Linked DNA regions of Cricetulus griseus. The protein of the gene in region 1 purifies or fractionates together with the protein of each later gene. This does not show direct contact. Links are inferred from orthologs where the notes say so. Each region holds a gene or a part of one and is shown in the gene's direction. Other genes may lie near its edges.

The links.
Region 2: the proteins of Lyn (region 1) and Ankrd54 purify together in Homo sapiens (affinity purification with mass spectrometry; 3 studies listed by BioGRID and IntAct, with this or other methods). This does not show direct contact. The link is inferred for Cricetulus griseus from reciprocal best matches to the Homo sapiens genes LYN and ANKRD54.
Region 3: the proteins of Lyn (region 1) and Plcg2 purify together in Homo sapiens (affinity purification with western blotting; 3 studies listed by BioGRID, with this or other methods). This does not show direct contact. The link is inferred for Cricetulus griseus from reciprocal best matches to the Homo sapiens genes LYN and PLCG2.

Annotation. Positions count from the first base shown.
Region 1 is NC_048595.1:156,369,561-156,373,208, reverse strand, and holds part of Lyn (tyrosine-protein kinase Lyn), read left to right. Parts: intron 1-436; coding exon 437-482; intron 483-1,439; coding exon 1,440-1,545; intron 1,546-3,648. UniProt on the Homo sapiens protein: Non-receptor tyrosine-protein kinase that transmits signals from cell surface receptors and plays an important role in the regulation of innate and adaptive immune responses, hematopoiesis, responses to growth factors and cytokines, integrin signaling, but also responses to DNA damage and genotoxic agents.
Region 2 is NC_048595.1:376,177,425-376,181,793, reverse strand, and holds the start of Ankrd54 (ankyrin repeat domain-containing protein 54), read left to right. Parts: upstream 1-1,486; 5' UTR 1,487-1,585; coding exon 1,586-1,910; intron 1,911-4,034; coding exon 4,035-4,082; intron 4,083-4,369. UniProt on the Homo sapiens protein: Plays an important role in regulating intracellular signaling events associated with erythroid terminal differentiation.
Region 3 is NC_048596.1:194,234,630-194,238,277, forward strand, and holds part of Plcg2 (1-phosphatidylinositol 4,5-bisphosphate phosphodiesterase gamma-2), read left to right. Parts: intron 1-524; coding exon 525-692; intron 693-3,648. UniProt on the Homo sapiens protein: The production of the second messenger molecules diacylglycerol (DAG) and inositol 1,4,5-trisphosphate (IP3) is mediated by activated phosphatidylinositol-specific phospholipase C enzymes. It is a crucial enzyme in transmembrane signaling.

The DNA of each region.
Region 1 (3,648 bases):
GCTTCTTCCCCTTCTACATAGGGAGCTGTAAGTCTAGAAGCAGCTATCACACTAGGCAAACTGCCACCTCAAATATTAGCACTCTGTTAAAAGCAAGAGAAAGGATCATGGCGGGCTGGCCTCTAGTCCCCAACTCATGAAGCCCTACTCACTTGACCTGTTGATACAGACCAAGAACTACATGTCCAGAAAAAGCCCTGAAAAGGACTGTACAGGTGGGACCTGAGGAAGATGGCATTGGATGCTGGAGCCTTGCTCTGAGCCCTTGCTCTGAGGCAGTGGCAACACCCTATAAGCTTTTCTGTTCAGCTCATCTTTCCTGCTTAGTAACTGCAAATCTAAACCTCACTTGTTGCTGTTAGAAAGATGTTAGCAGCATGCATGCAAGAAAAAGTTGATCATGATATTTTTTTCCCTAACGAATACTCTTTCGTAGGTTCCAGAATCTCAACTTTTACCAGGACAGAGGTTTCAAACAAAAGGTATGTTTTCTTAGCAATATAGTTAATATTCTGTTTGTTGTTGTGGGAAAATATATATATATATACATACATATATATATATATATATATCATAAATTTATCATGCCTTTAACCATGTTTTAAATGTGGAGTTCAGAGGCAGGAAGTCCACATTGCTGTGCAAACCTCACCAGCATCCATGACAGAAGGTTTCCATTATCCCAAGTGGAACTCTATCATTAAACACCCTTGCTTCTCCACTCCCTTCTGCTCTGGGCAGCCACCATTATACTTTCTGTCCCTGCGGATTTGATTGCTCTAGGTAGCACACGTGAATGGAAATTATACAGTCTTTGTCATTTGTGCCTGGCTCATTTAATTTAACATGAGGTTTTCAAGGCTCATCTATAATATATTGTGTGCCAGAACTTCGATTCTTTTTGATTTAATATTATTCTATTATATGTATATGTCACATTTTGTTCATTCCACTGATGGATACTAGAGTAGCTTCTGCCTTTGGGGGACCATGACAGTGCTGCCATGATCAGACGTATATTCTGTCCTAAACATAGTTTTGAAATTATAGTAGGTTCCTGGGCTTGGTGTACACAGTATGCAGCTGGTATTATTTTTGTTGTTGTTGTTGTTTTCTTTTTTTTAAGATTTTATTTATTTATTTATTATGTATACAATATTCTGCTTCCATGTATATCTGCACACCAGAAAGTGCACCAGATCTCATAATGAGATGGCTGTGAGCCACCATGTGGTTGCTGGGAATTGAACTCAGGACCTCTGGAAGAACAGTCAGTGCTCTTAACCTCTGAGCCATCTCTCCAGCCCGCAGCTGGTATTATTTGTAGGTGGGAAGCACACAGCTTCATTCCCTGGCCCTTCTCTCCACTGCTTCTTTCCTTCCTTTGTGTTTATGTTGATAGGTTTTGAAAGTGTTTTGCTTATATCTTTTGTTCTTAGATCCAGAGGAACAAGGGGACATTGTGGTAGCCTTGTACCCCTACGATGGCATCCACCCAGATGACTTGTCCTTCAAGAAAGGAGAAAAGATGAAAGTCCTGGAAGAGTAAGTGTGCCCAGATCCTGGCAGCACCTTGACCATAGCTCTTGTCAAGGCAGCAGGAATAGAGCAAAAAGAACTTCGCTTTCAAGTGTGGCTGTGGGCACCTCTATTATTTCTCCCAACAAGGACAGACATTAGGTTCTTTCTTTACTGATGTGCTACCTAAGAAGTTTGGCTCTGTGTCACATGCTACTTAAGATGGCCACTATAGAATTTGGGAAATAGCTCAGTCATAACCTAGTTAGTTACCAGGACTCACCTTTAAAAAGGAAAAGGCTGGGTACGGTGGCACAGCACTGGGGAGGTGGACACAAGAGGATCCCTGAGGACTCTGCCCAGCCATTCTAGCATACTTGCAAGTTTGAGGCCTGTGAGATACTCTGTCTCTTAAAAACAAGATAGGCAGCACCTGAAGAACGACGGATAAGGCTATCTTCTGGCATGTACACACATGTAAACATGTGATGTATACCTGCAAACACAAGTGCACCTGCACAGTCATGAACACACACACACACACACACACACACACACACACACCAATTTGAAAGGCCATTTTTATTTGTTATATTGCATAGATTCAATGGGGCTCATGAGACCACTGGTGTGATTTCTAAGGGTTTGCTAAGGATGCGGTACCACAACCACAGTCATGTTGGCCAGTCCTGCTCACTTCTGCCCTGAAGCTGCTTGGATGTTTCATTTCCCTGACCCCTGAGTGTTGACTCACACATGCGTGACCCTGGTCAGGCATAGGGCACAGGGCAGGGAGGAGGGAGAAGGAGGAACTCTGAGCACTTCAAGTCTAACTTCCTTCTTGTACTGGATTTGCATGAAGCAGCACCCCGACCCCAGCCTGCCAAAGGGGGAGAGAAGGGAGACTCCCTCACTGAAAATGAGGCACTCAGTGCTGTCCTGAGCTTCAGCATGAACTTGTGTTTGAATGTGGCCCTTCCTTCTGAGAGTTGCCTTGAATGCCTTCAAGGATGGCCTTGAAACGTCACTCAGTCTGTTCCTTGGAATTTTAACTTTTGAAATGGGCATGACACCAAAGGATTGTGATAAGCATGGTGTGTGTGTGTGTGTGTGTGTGTGTGTGTGTGTGTGTGTGTGGTATATGTGTGTATACAGTTGTTTCTGAGCATCTGTTACGGATGGTTTTCAGTACCGCTCATGCATGCTAAAGCCCATGTGTTCTTGTCTTTGATACAAAATGGCACAGTATTTACATATAGCCTACAGCATCCTCCACATACCTTATTTTTTTTAAAAAAAAGTATTCTTTGAGAATTCCATACATCTGTGCAATAAACATGGTCATATTCACCCCCTACTTCCTCCAACACCCCTGCATTCCACACATGCCCCTTCCAACTTCACATCCTCTTCCTTTCTTTCTCATAGCCAACTAAATCCAACCAGTGCTGCCCATGTATGCATGACAGTGGGGTCATCTCCCAGTGGCCATGTTTCCACAGAAGAGTTGTTCTCCCTCACCAGGCCGCTGTCCACTCCCAATAGTTCCCCAGTTAGGGGTGGAGCCTGGAGAGCTCTTTTACTATAACCCCCCAACATTTCAAATCACCTCTGAATGACTTCTCATGTCTAATACAATGTGATTGTGATTATTATGAAAATGGCCTTATCAAACAGAGAAGAAGAAAACATAGATATAAAAGTTTCAGTCCTGAGATTGTAGCTCAATGGTAGGAAGTTTGCCTAGCATGTTCAAGGTCCTAGATTCAATAACCCTGCCTAGAAAAAAGGAAAAAGTTCAGCCTAAAAGTTCTACATATTTTCAGTCTTCAGTTGGCTGAATTTGAAGCATGCACAGGCTGCTTGTGTGAGTAAACAGTTTACAGTACCTGTGAACTGTACTAAAGTTAGTTATGATTGCCTTTCTCCCACAGACAAGGGTCAAGTCTGTGGGGGGGGGCATTTGGAAAGGAACATGGAGGCTTCCAAAGACCCATTCCATCCCCCCCTTTAGTTCAGCTGCTGCTTCTGGGCCTGGTCCTTCCTCCTTCACCTCCCTGATGCCCTCTGGGTTAGTGTAGTATCATGCAGAGTCATGGTGATGAGGCTAGCCTACTCTGAATTGGTTTG
Region 2 (4,369 bases), about 220 Mb from region 1:
TGAATCATAATGTAAATATATGATATGCAGATGGTATAAATATCTGATAAACAAATGGTCTTAGGCTATTTCTGTGAAAGGGTCATGTGAGACCTACAGGTTGAGAACCATTGTCGATCTTGCTGGCTCAGATTTGAATTTCTTAAACCCTTCTTTCAAGATTTACTTATTTATTTATGTATATAATGTTCTATCTGCATGTATGCCTGTGGGCCAGAAAGGGGCACCAGATCTCCTTACAGATGGCTGTGAGCCGCCATGCTAGGTACTGAACGCAGGACCTCTGGAAGACCTCCGAGTCATCTCTCCAGCACTAATTTTTTAAAGGTGTATTTATTTTTATGTGCACTGGTATTTCACATGAGAGTATGTCTGTGTGAGGGTGAGAGATTACTCTGGAACTGCCATGTGGGTGCTGGGAATCGAATCCAGGTCCTCCGACTCATCTCTCCAGCCCCATCAGCAGTCAAATTGTAAATGCTGACAACCAGTACAAATTTCTCTAATATTCTTTAAAGGCCAACCAGTCGAGGCAAAGAAAGATGGAAAGACAAGGCAACTTGTTGGATCTAGCCTGAGCACCTGGTATTCATATCCAACCTAGAAAAATTCCTGGTGAAAAGACCGGCTCCAAGAAGTTGCCCCCAAATTACAAATATGGAGTAGAACAAAACTAGAACCCATGTCCTTGGAGTCCCACAAGACAATGATACAGGCATTTATTTACTTGATCTTTCAAGTGTTTTCTATTTTTTTATGAATTGACCAAATGCAAATGACGTGTGTGTGTGTGTGTGTGTGTGTGTGTGTGTGTGTGTGTGTGTGTACTTGCAGGCCCCTTGTATCAGGTTCAGGCCCGTGTTTGGTAGGACTTTCAAGGCTGAAAAATAGCCCTGAGCTAATTTGTCTACGGAAGGGTCACTCTTGTATAATAACATAAGGTAAAATTCTTTGTTAAATCAATGATCCCTGTGAAGGAAAGAGAACCCTGACAAAGATAAATCTATTACATTAGAAGATATTACCACCTGCTTCGTGGTGATCTTCAAATCATTGTACGTTTTGTGGAAAACCTCTTTCTGTGTGCCTGTGTTCATTGATTCAAAACACACATCAGAGTAGTTTGGTTTCTTCATTTTCCTTTCCGATTGGCTGGAGAGCATCTTATGGTGATTGGCCAAAGTATTTGCCTGCCGTCCTTCCGGATCTACGATAGGAAGAACTGGCAGAAGAGGGTGGGGGAAAGTAGACTGAACTCTGCTTTTTTATTGGCTCCTGTAGCAACACCGCTTAGTGCGGAGCAATCCCAACTTATGATTGGCTTATGTACCCGCCAGACAAACTGCCGTAAACCAGTGTTCTCGTTATACTCTGCCTTCCTTGCCTGATTGGCTGTGTTGTGCAGGTTCCGCGATCTCTGATTGGTCTGACGCTCTACACAGCCCGGCTTGCCTGCACTCTGTTGCCGTGGTTGCAGGCCCCGCCCGCTCGCTCTCTGACAGCGAGGCTTCTCCTAGAGGGAAGCGGGTCCGTTGGTCGGTCCGGAACGAGGCTGGCGCTGCCAGGCCCGCGCCTAGCCGTTGCCATGGCAGCCACCGGCGGGGTCGCGGATGACGAGTCCCGATCCGGCCGCTCGAGCTCCGACGGCGAGTGCGCGGTGGCGCCGGAGCCGCTGGCGGAAGCCGGAGGCCTGTTCTCCTTCGCGGACCTAGGCGCTGCGCTGGGCGGCGGCGCAGGCCTCCCGGGCCGGGCAGCCGGCAGGGCCCAGTCCCCGCTGCGCTACCTGCAGGTCCTGTGGCAGCAGGACGCCGAGCCCCGCGATGAACTGCGCTGCAAGATCCCCGCCGGGCGGCTGAGGCGCGCCGCTAGGCCCCACCGCAGGCTCGGGCCCACTGGCAAGGAGGTGCACGGTGAGCTCAACCCGGGATCCTAGGGTCGCTCGTGAATGATCGCAGCAGTTAAAGCTGTTGAGGACCGTGACTTCGGCCACTTGGACATCCCTGAATAAAAACTTTCCACTCTCGAGAGTGGTTGTTAGTAGACAATAATGTGAGACAATGGAGAATATTTTTATTATTAGAGAAGGGAACCCAGAGCTGTGGCCACGCTGTACCAACTTGTGTGATGCACAGATCTGAACCAGACTGCTCCACACAGACTCACGTGTGACCTCGCTTTCCTATTTGTAGAATGGGTACACTACCAGCTTTCCTTGGGTGTGAAGACTTAGGCAAGGTTCTGATCTATCTTTGTGATGGACCAAGCACTTTTGATACACAACCTTTTATAGTCATTCCAAGGGATACATTGTGGCCCATAAGAAGTGACTTGTAAACAAGTGAAACAGCCAGAGCCTGGTGGTGGTGGCATAAGCCTTTAGTCCCAGCACTCAGGAGGCAGAGGCAAGAGGATGTCTTGTGAGTTAGAGGCCAGCCCGGTCTACAAAGCTACACAGAGAAACCCTGTCTGGATAAACCAAAAAAAAAAAAAAAAAAAAAAGGAAAAAAGAAAAGAAAGAAAAACAGCCAGGTGTGCCAGGTGTGGTAGTACTCCTGTAATCCTGAGGAGGCAGAAGCAGGACTCTGAGTTCAGGGCTAGTCTGGGCTAAGTATCAAGTTCCAGGTTCACTGTAAATCTTGGTGATTACACTCAGTAGATCAGGCTTTGTAGCTAGCCTCTTTTCCCACTGAGTCAGTTATTACCATTTGGACATTTTTTTTTTTTGGTTTTTTCGAGACAGGGTTTCTCTGTGGCTTTGGAGGCTGTCCTGGAACTAGCTCTTGTAGACCAGAGCTGGTCTCGAACTCTGCCTCCCAAGTGCTGGGATTAAAGGCGTGCGCCACCAACGCCCGGCTTTTTTTTTTTTTTTTAAAGATTTATTTATCTTGTATACAGTGTTCTGCCTACATATATGCCTGTGTGCCAGAAGAGGGATCCAGATCTCATTATAGATGGTTGTGAGCCACCATGTGATTGCTGGGAATTGAACTCAGGACCTCTGGAAGAGCAGCCAGTGCTCTCAACCTCTGAGCCATCTCTCCAGCCCATTTGGACATTCTGATTTCAAGTCATATAGAAGAAGGCTATGCCAGTATTCCAACCCCATCTGCTATATTGTTTCTGCAGTTTGTGGGTGAAAAGGAAAATGGGATACAGAAAGATTAATAAATTGGAAATTTTTAAGGTCTCTTTTCAGACTAGCACCATTTCACCTGGTGTCTTAGTGTTATAAAGATCAAAGGAGGGCCTGGCAGTGGTGGCGCACGCCTTTAATACCAGCACTCAGGAGGTAGAGGCAGGTGGATCTCTGTGAGTTCAAGACCAGCCTGGTCTACAGAGTGAGTTCCAGGACAGCCAGGGCTACACAGAGAAACCCTGTCTCAAGAAAGATTAAAAGAGAATTTCAAAGGACTGTATAAACAAAAATGTGGCATATGGATATATGCAATTGTTATATCTAGTTTGCAGTTGTTTTGACCATTCTCTTGACAACAAAGGTATTGCTTTCTGTTAGTTCTAAGGTAGAAGTGGCATCAGTGAGAAGAGGGAAGTTTCTGCTTAGGAATTACTGAGTTTGGTAAGTCATTTAGGAATGACCTGCTTTGAAGCAGAATAATAAAATGTTGAATGCAATTAGCTCACAAAGGACTAAACCTGCTCAGTCTTTCTCTTTTAAAAAATTATCTCAATTTTCTTTGTAACAACTTAAGAGCTGGCAGAACAAGTCAGCCTTGTTGTACGGATGATGGGCTGGGGCCCAGGGTAAGTAACTGGCTTGCTCAAGGTCGCCAACTACGACAAGTGGCAGAAATTAGATCTGGCTCCAGAAGTCAATTTTCTACAGAAATTGGTCTCTCTTCCAACTGTGGCCCAGTTCCAGTTTCTCCTTGTTCCCAGACTAGTGGTTTCTGTCCCGATACCTTTGCCTTTCTGTGCTGCTGTGACGGAAGGGTGGAATATCAGGGAACACTGGGAAGCGATGTGCCTTATGGTTTTGTTACGATTTTGTTTAACTGTCACTTTTCTCTTTATAGCTCTGAAGAGGCTGAGGGATTCTGCCAATGCCAATGATGTAGAAACAGGTGAGTGTGCACAGTGGCATCTATGGGCTGATGGGGAAGGAAAAAGCCAAGTACTCCATACCTGGGCAGTCTGCCAGCTCATCCACATTCCCTCAGAGCATGTTCACTGTATTCACTCCCTGACCCTGAAATCACTGTGCAAAACGGAAGGAAGTAAGGTGTAGGTACTCCCTCACCAGGCCCCTCTGTTACCCAGAGTCTCCTGGTGTCATAGTGCTCATCACCCTGTGTGCTTGCTGATGCTAGGGGCCATGCCTGGTTGTTTTTAATCTCTGGGATTCAGCAAT
Region 3 (3,648 bases), on another chromosome or scaffold:
TAGTTGAGGAAGCAGAGCCACCTGCCTAACCACTAGACGAGTCCAGGAAAAACTCAGGTGCAGACCAGTTAAACTGGCCTTTTTATAGGGTGGCAGGTTTGCTTCACGTCTTGCCTTATAAGGCTGGTCATCCATGAGAACGCCCAACACTCTTCAGAGACCCCTAGCTCCCTTTCTTCTTCAGGCCCGGGGTGCATCTCACAGGTCCTCTGCTCATCTCTTTTCTTGAACTCCCCCTCCCCCCAGTTCGGCTCTACACCTGCCCCCCTTCCATTCTCCTATCCCATGAAGTGAGATGGGTGAGGTGGCAGCATGTTCCTGTGCTCACAGAAGGCTGGCCTGCAGCAGGATTGCTTGCTGGGAAAGAAATAACAAAAGATAACTCTTCAGGGCTTTTTAGACCAGGGTGCGGATGCAAATTAAATTTACTAGACTGTGGAGGGATTGAAGCCGAGACTGCAGAGGCCGTCTTACCCCGAGGAGGCAGGGCACAAGCGTCAGTAACAAGTTTTGGTCTTTTCCAGATGACAATGGCCTCAGCCCTGTCTGGGCTCCAACGCAGGAGAAGGTGACATTTGAAATTTATGATCCAAACCTTGCATTCCTTCGCTTTGTGGTCTATGAGGAGGACATGTTCAGTGACCCCAACTTCCTGGCTCATGCCACATACCCCATTAAAGGGATCAAGTCAGGTAAGGACCATTAGCAAGAATGTTCAGCATGGGGGAGGCAAGTTCATTGGTGTGTGCTGCAGGCTGTAAACGGGAACACGCCAGCATCTTTCCTGGCTCACGTTAAACCACAACAAAGCCGATGGTGTGGGCATTAAGCACAGGGGTGGGGAGAAAGTGGAGAAAGGCTGAGTCCTTGTTCGTCATCAGTGAGCAAAACATCAGTTACTCCATCCTCAGTCTGGCACTGTTTGGTTTCATTGTGAAATGCCTCAGGCAGTTTGTCTTCATTAGCAGGTGAAGAAATATGTTCTTCCACGAGCCATGAGTGTCACTGGCAGCATCCTAAGGATGAGGCCCCTGGCATCCACAGTGTCTAACTCGCTTAAGCATTCTGAACTCACCGTCTTCTACTAGACTCGGAGGTTGACCTAGTTCTTGGATTTCTTTTTATGCTGAACACAATACAAGACCCCCTCTTGCCTTACAAAGGGGCAGTGTATGCTTGCTTTCCACAATGTCAAAGTAGGTCACATAAGAGCCCATAAATCTGGGCGTCTCTCAGCCCTCATCAGAGCAGCCTGCTTTTAAGGCAGATGATGATAAATGCAGACAACAGGAGACTGTGGAGTACTTGATTCTACGTAGGACATCTATGTTACCCCCTTCTCCAAAGCTCAGGGGTTTGAGGAAGAGGAGACAGAAAGATTGTCAGAGTTATAGATGTCTGTAGCTACACATACAAGACCCGTACAAGATCAAGCTGACCCAAATCACAGCACAGATGGGGAAGGGCCCATGAAGTCCCTCTCCTCAGTGAGGAACATGAGGAACTCTTAGTAACGATGGCTGCTGCAAGAGGGAGAGTCCCATCTTCTTCAGGGATTCATCCCCTGAGAAGTTACCTGGCTCCAGTAGATGGTCCCACACCAGTGCATAAGTGCACTCAGTGCGTTCAAAAAAGAACATGTGGAGTTGGGGTGGGGGAGTGGTAGGGAGGAACTATGGTGGGTTTGATCAAAGCACACTATATTCATATATGAAATTCTCAAACAAGAAAAAATATGAAAAAACCCAACAACCAAAACCTGCTATACTGAGTTTTTCCAGTACAGCTAAGAATCTTCCCAGACCTGGAAGTTCTCTGAAGGTGGCCAGCCTTAGGGTATGGTTTCTGTCAGTTGCGTCCTCTCTGGATTTCATTTATGATCTAACACACAGGCCAGCTGCACGGTGGATTTCTTACTGCCTTATCCACACACAGCATTGCTGATTCACGACACAGACATCATAGATCCTTCTGGGTTCCCTAAGAGGTCACTGTTCCCCTGTTTCCCAGAGCAGTCATTTTTCAAGAGAAAGAAATTACTATCATTTTTTGTCATCTATATCAAATTACTGTCTTTTGATGTTTGGAAGCCTGGGCTCTATTCTGTGCTGAACTGGGTCTTTTGAAAACTTAGACCATGCCATCTCTTCTCTCATAAAGACTCTCAGCTTCTCCAGCCATTTCTCCCATTCTTTGCTAGGCCCATATCCAAGTAGCAAATGTGTTAGGGACTCCTGTTAGAAAATGTTAATTGCTGGGTCCACCGTGGGATGCTCCAATTCAGCCCAGTGTGGCACTCCGGAATCAGTTGCATGATGTCCCGCCCCCGGGAAGACCTGGGCAGTGTTGAGCAAAGAAGGCTGGCCTCAGTTTCCCATCTTACTGCTGAGGACCCCAACACTTGCGTGAGAGACTGGGGAAGTGTTCAAAGCCTCATTTCTATCTATCAGTTTAGAAGTAGCATTTGAGTACATTATGGCAATAATAATAATAACAAACACCCTGTGATGGCTAACATGCATACGGACGATGTTAAAGCCGGCATCAGAGCTGCTAGACTCTGTTTGGCTATGTACTTTTTAGACTAGCCCAATAAACAGGGTTTGGAAGTGATGCTGCCTCCTTCTCCCAGCAAGAAGAGCAGTATTGGGAGAATCTTTTCAATTCTGGTCTTAATGCCCTCATGGCAGTAAGGAGCTATTGCCATCTGGTTCCTGGACCATCGTGCTCCGCCCCTCCCCTACCATCCTGTGAAAGATGGGGAGGTTACTCTTGGGATGAAGTCAGAGTTCATGGCACACTGCCTTTCCTTATTGCTGGGCAACTTAACTTGAAGATTGAAAAAAAGCCAACAAGGAAACATCAAGGTGTTTAATGGGAACCTCCACCCCATGTCTAACTAGCAGATAACCACAGCAGGGACACTCTCCCTTTCTTTGCCAGCTCCTAGCATATCTATATTCACGAGAGGCAGGAAATGAAATGAATAGTCCTTTTGTGCAGCTGGCTTTCAGGGCCTTCTAAACTTGAAAATAAACTTTGTCCATTGTTGGGATGGTTGCACTTAAGCTTTCAAATTGGCTGGGCCCTGCGCAGGAGGGAGATGACACTTACCACACTCAACCACCTTCATTTCCTTTTCTTTAACCGTTACAGGAAGCCTGTGAGGGTTGCTTTTCTTTTATTATTAAATCATTTTTACTTTTAACATCTGAGGACTTCAAGGTCACGAGCTGGTACTTGGCCATTGTTTTTCCTTCTTTGTAGACTGTCCTTGAGGGGCCTCTTATTTCTAGTGGGTACTTAAAGTCTCCCCAATATTGACCGTTCTTCATTTCCCTTCTCTATGTGAAATAAACAAAGCTAAAAAAATAATACTATTTTCACGGTTGGAGCTGAGAAATACCTTGACTCTAGTTGGCATGAGGGCTTCTCAGAGTTGGGCAGTAAGAAGAGGCATGGGGAACCAAGGGCAGAGCCCATGCCTCTACTGTTAGCCAGTCCCTCCCTGTGGCTGGAGTCCACAGCTTCTTGGCAATGTCCTGGGCCACCCAGAACAGCCCAGGGCTCTGTTTATTTTCCCAGTCCATTAATACTAAACTCTCCCCAGGTCATCCCATGAGATGCACATAATCTTAGCAGGGCTCA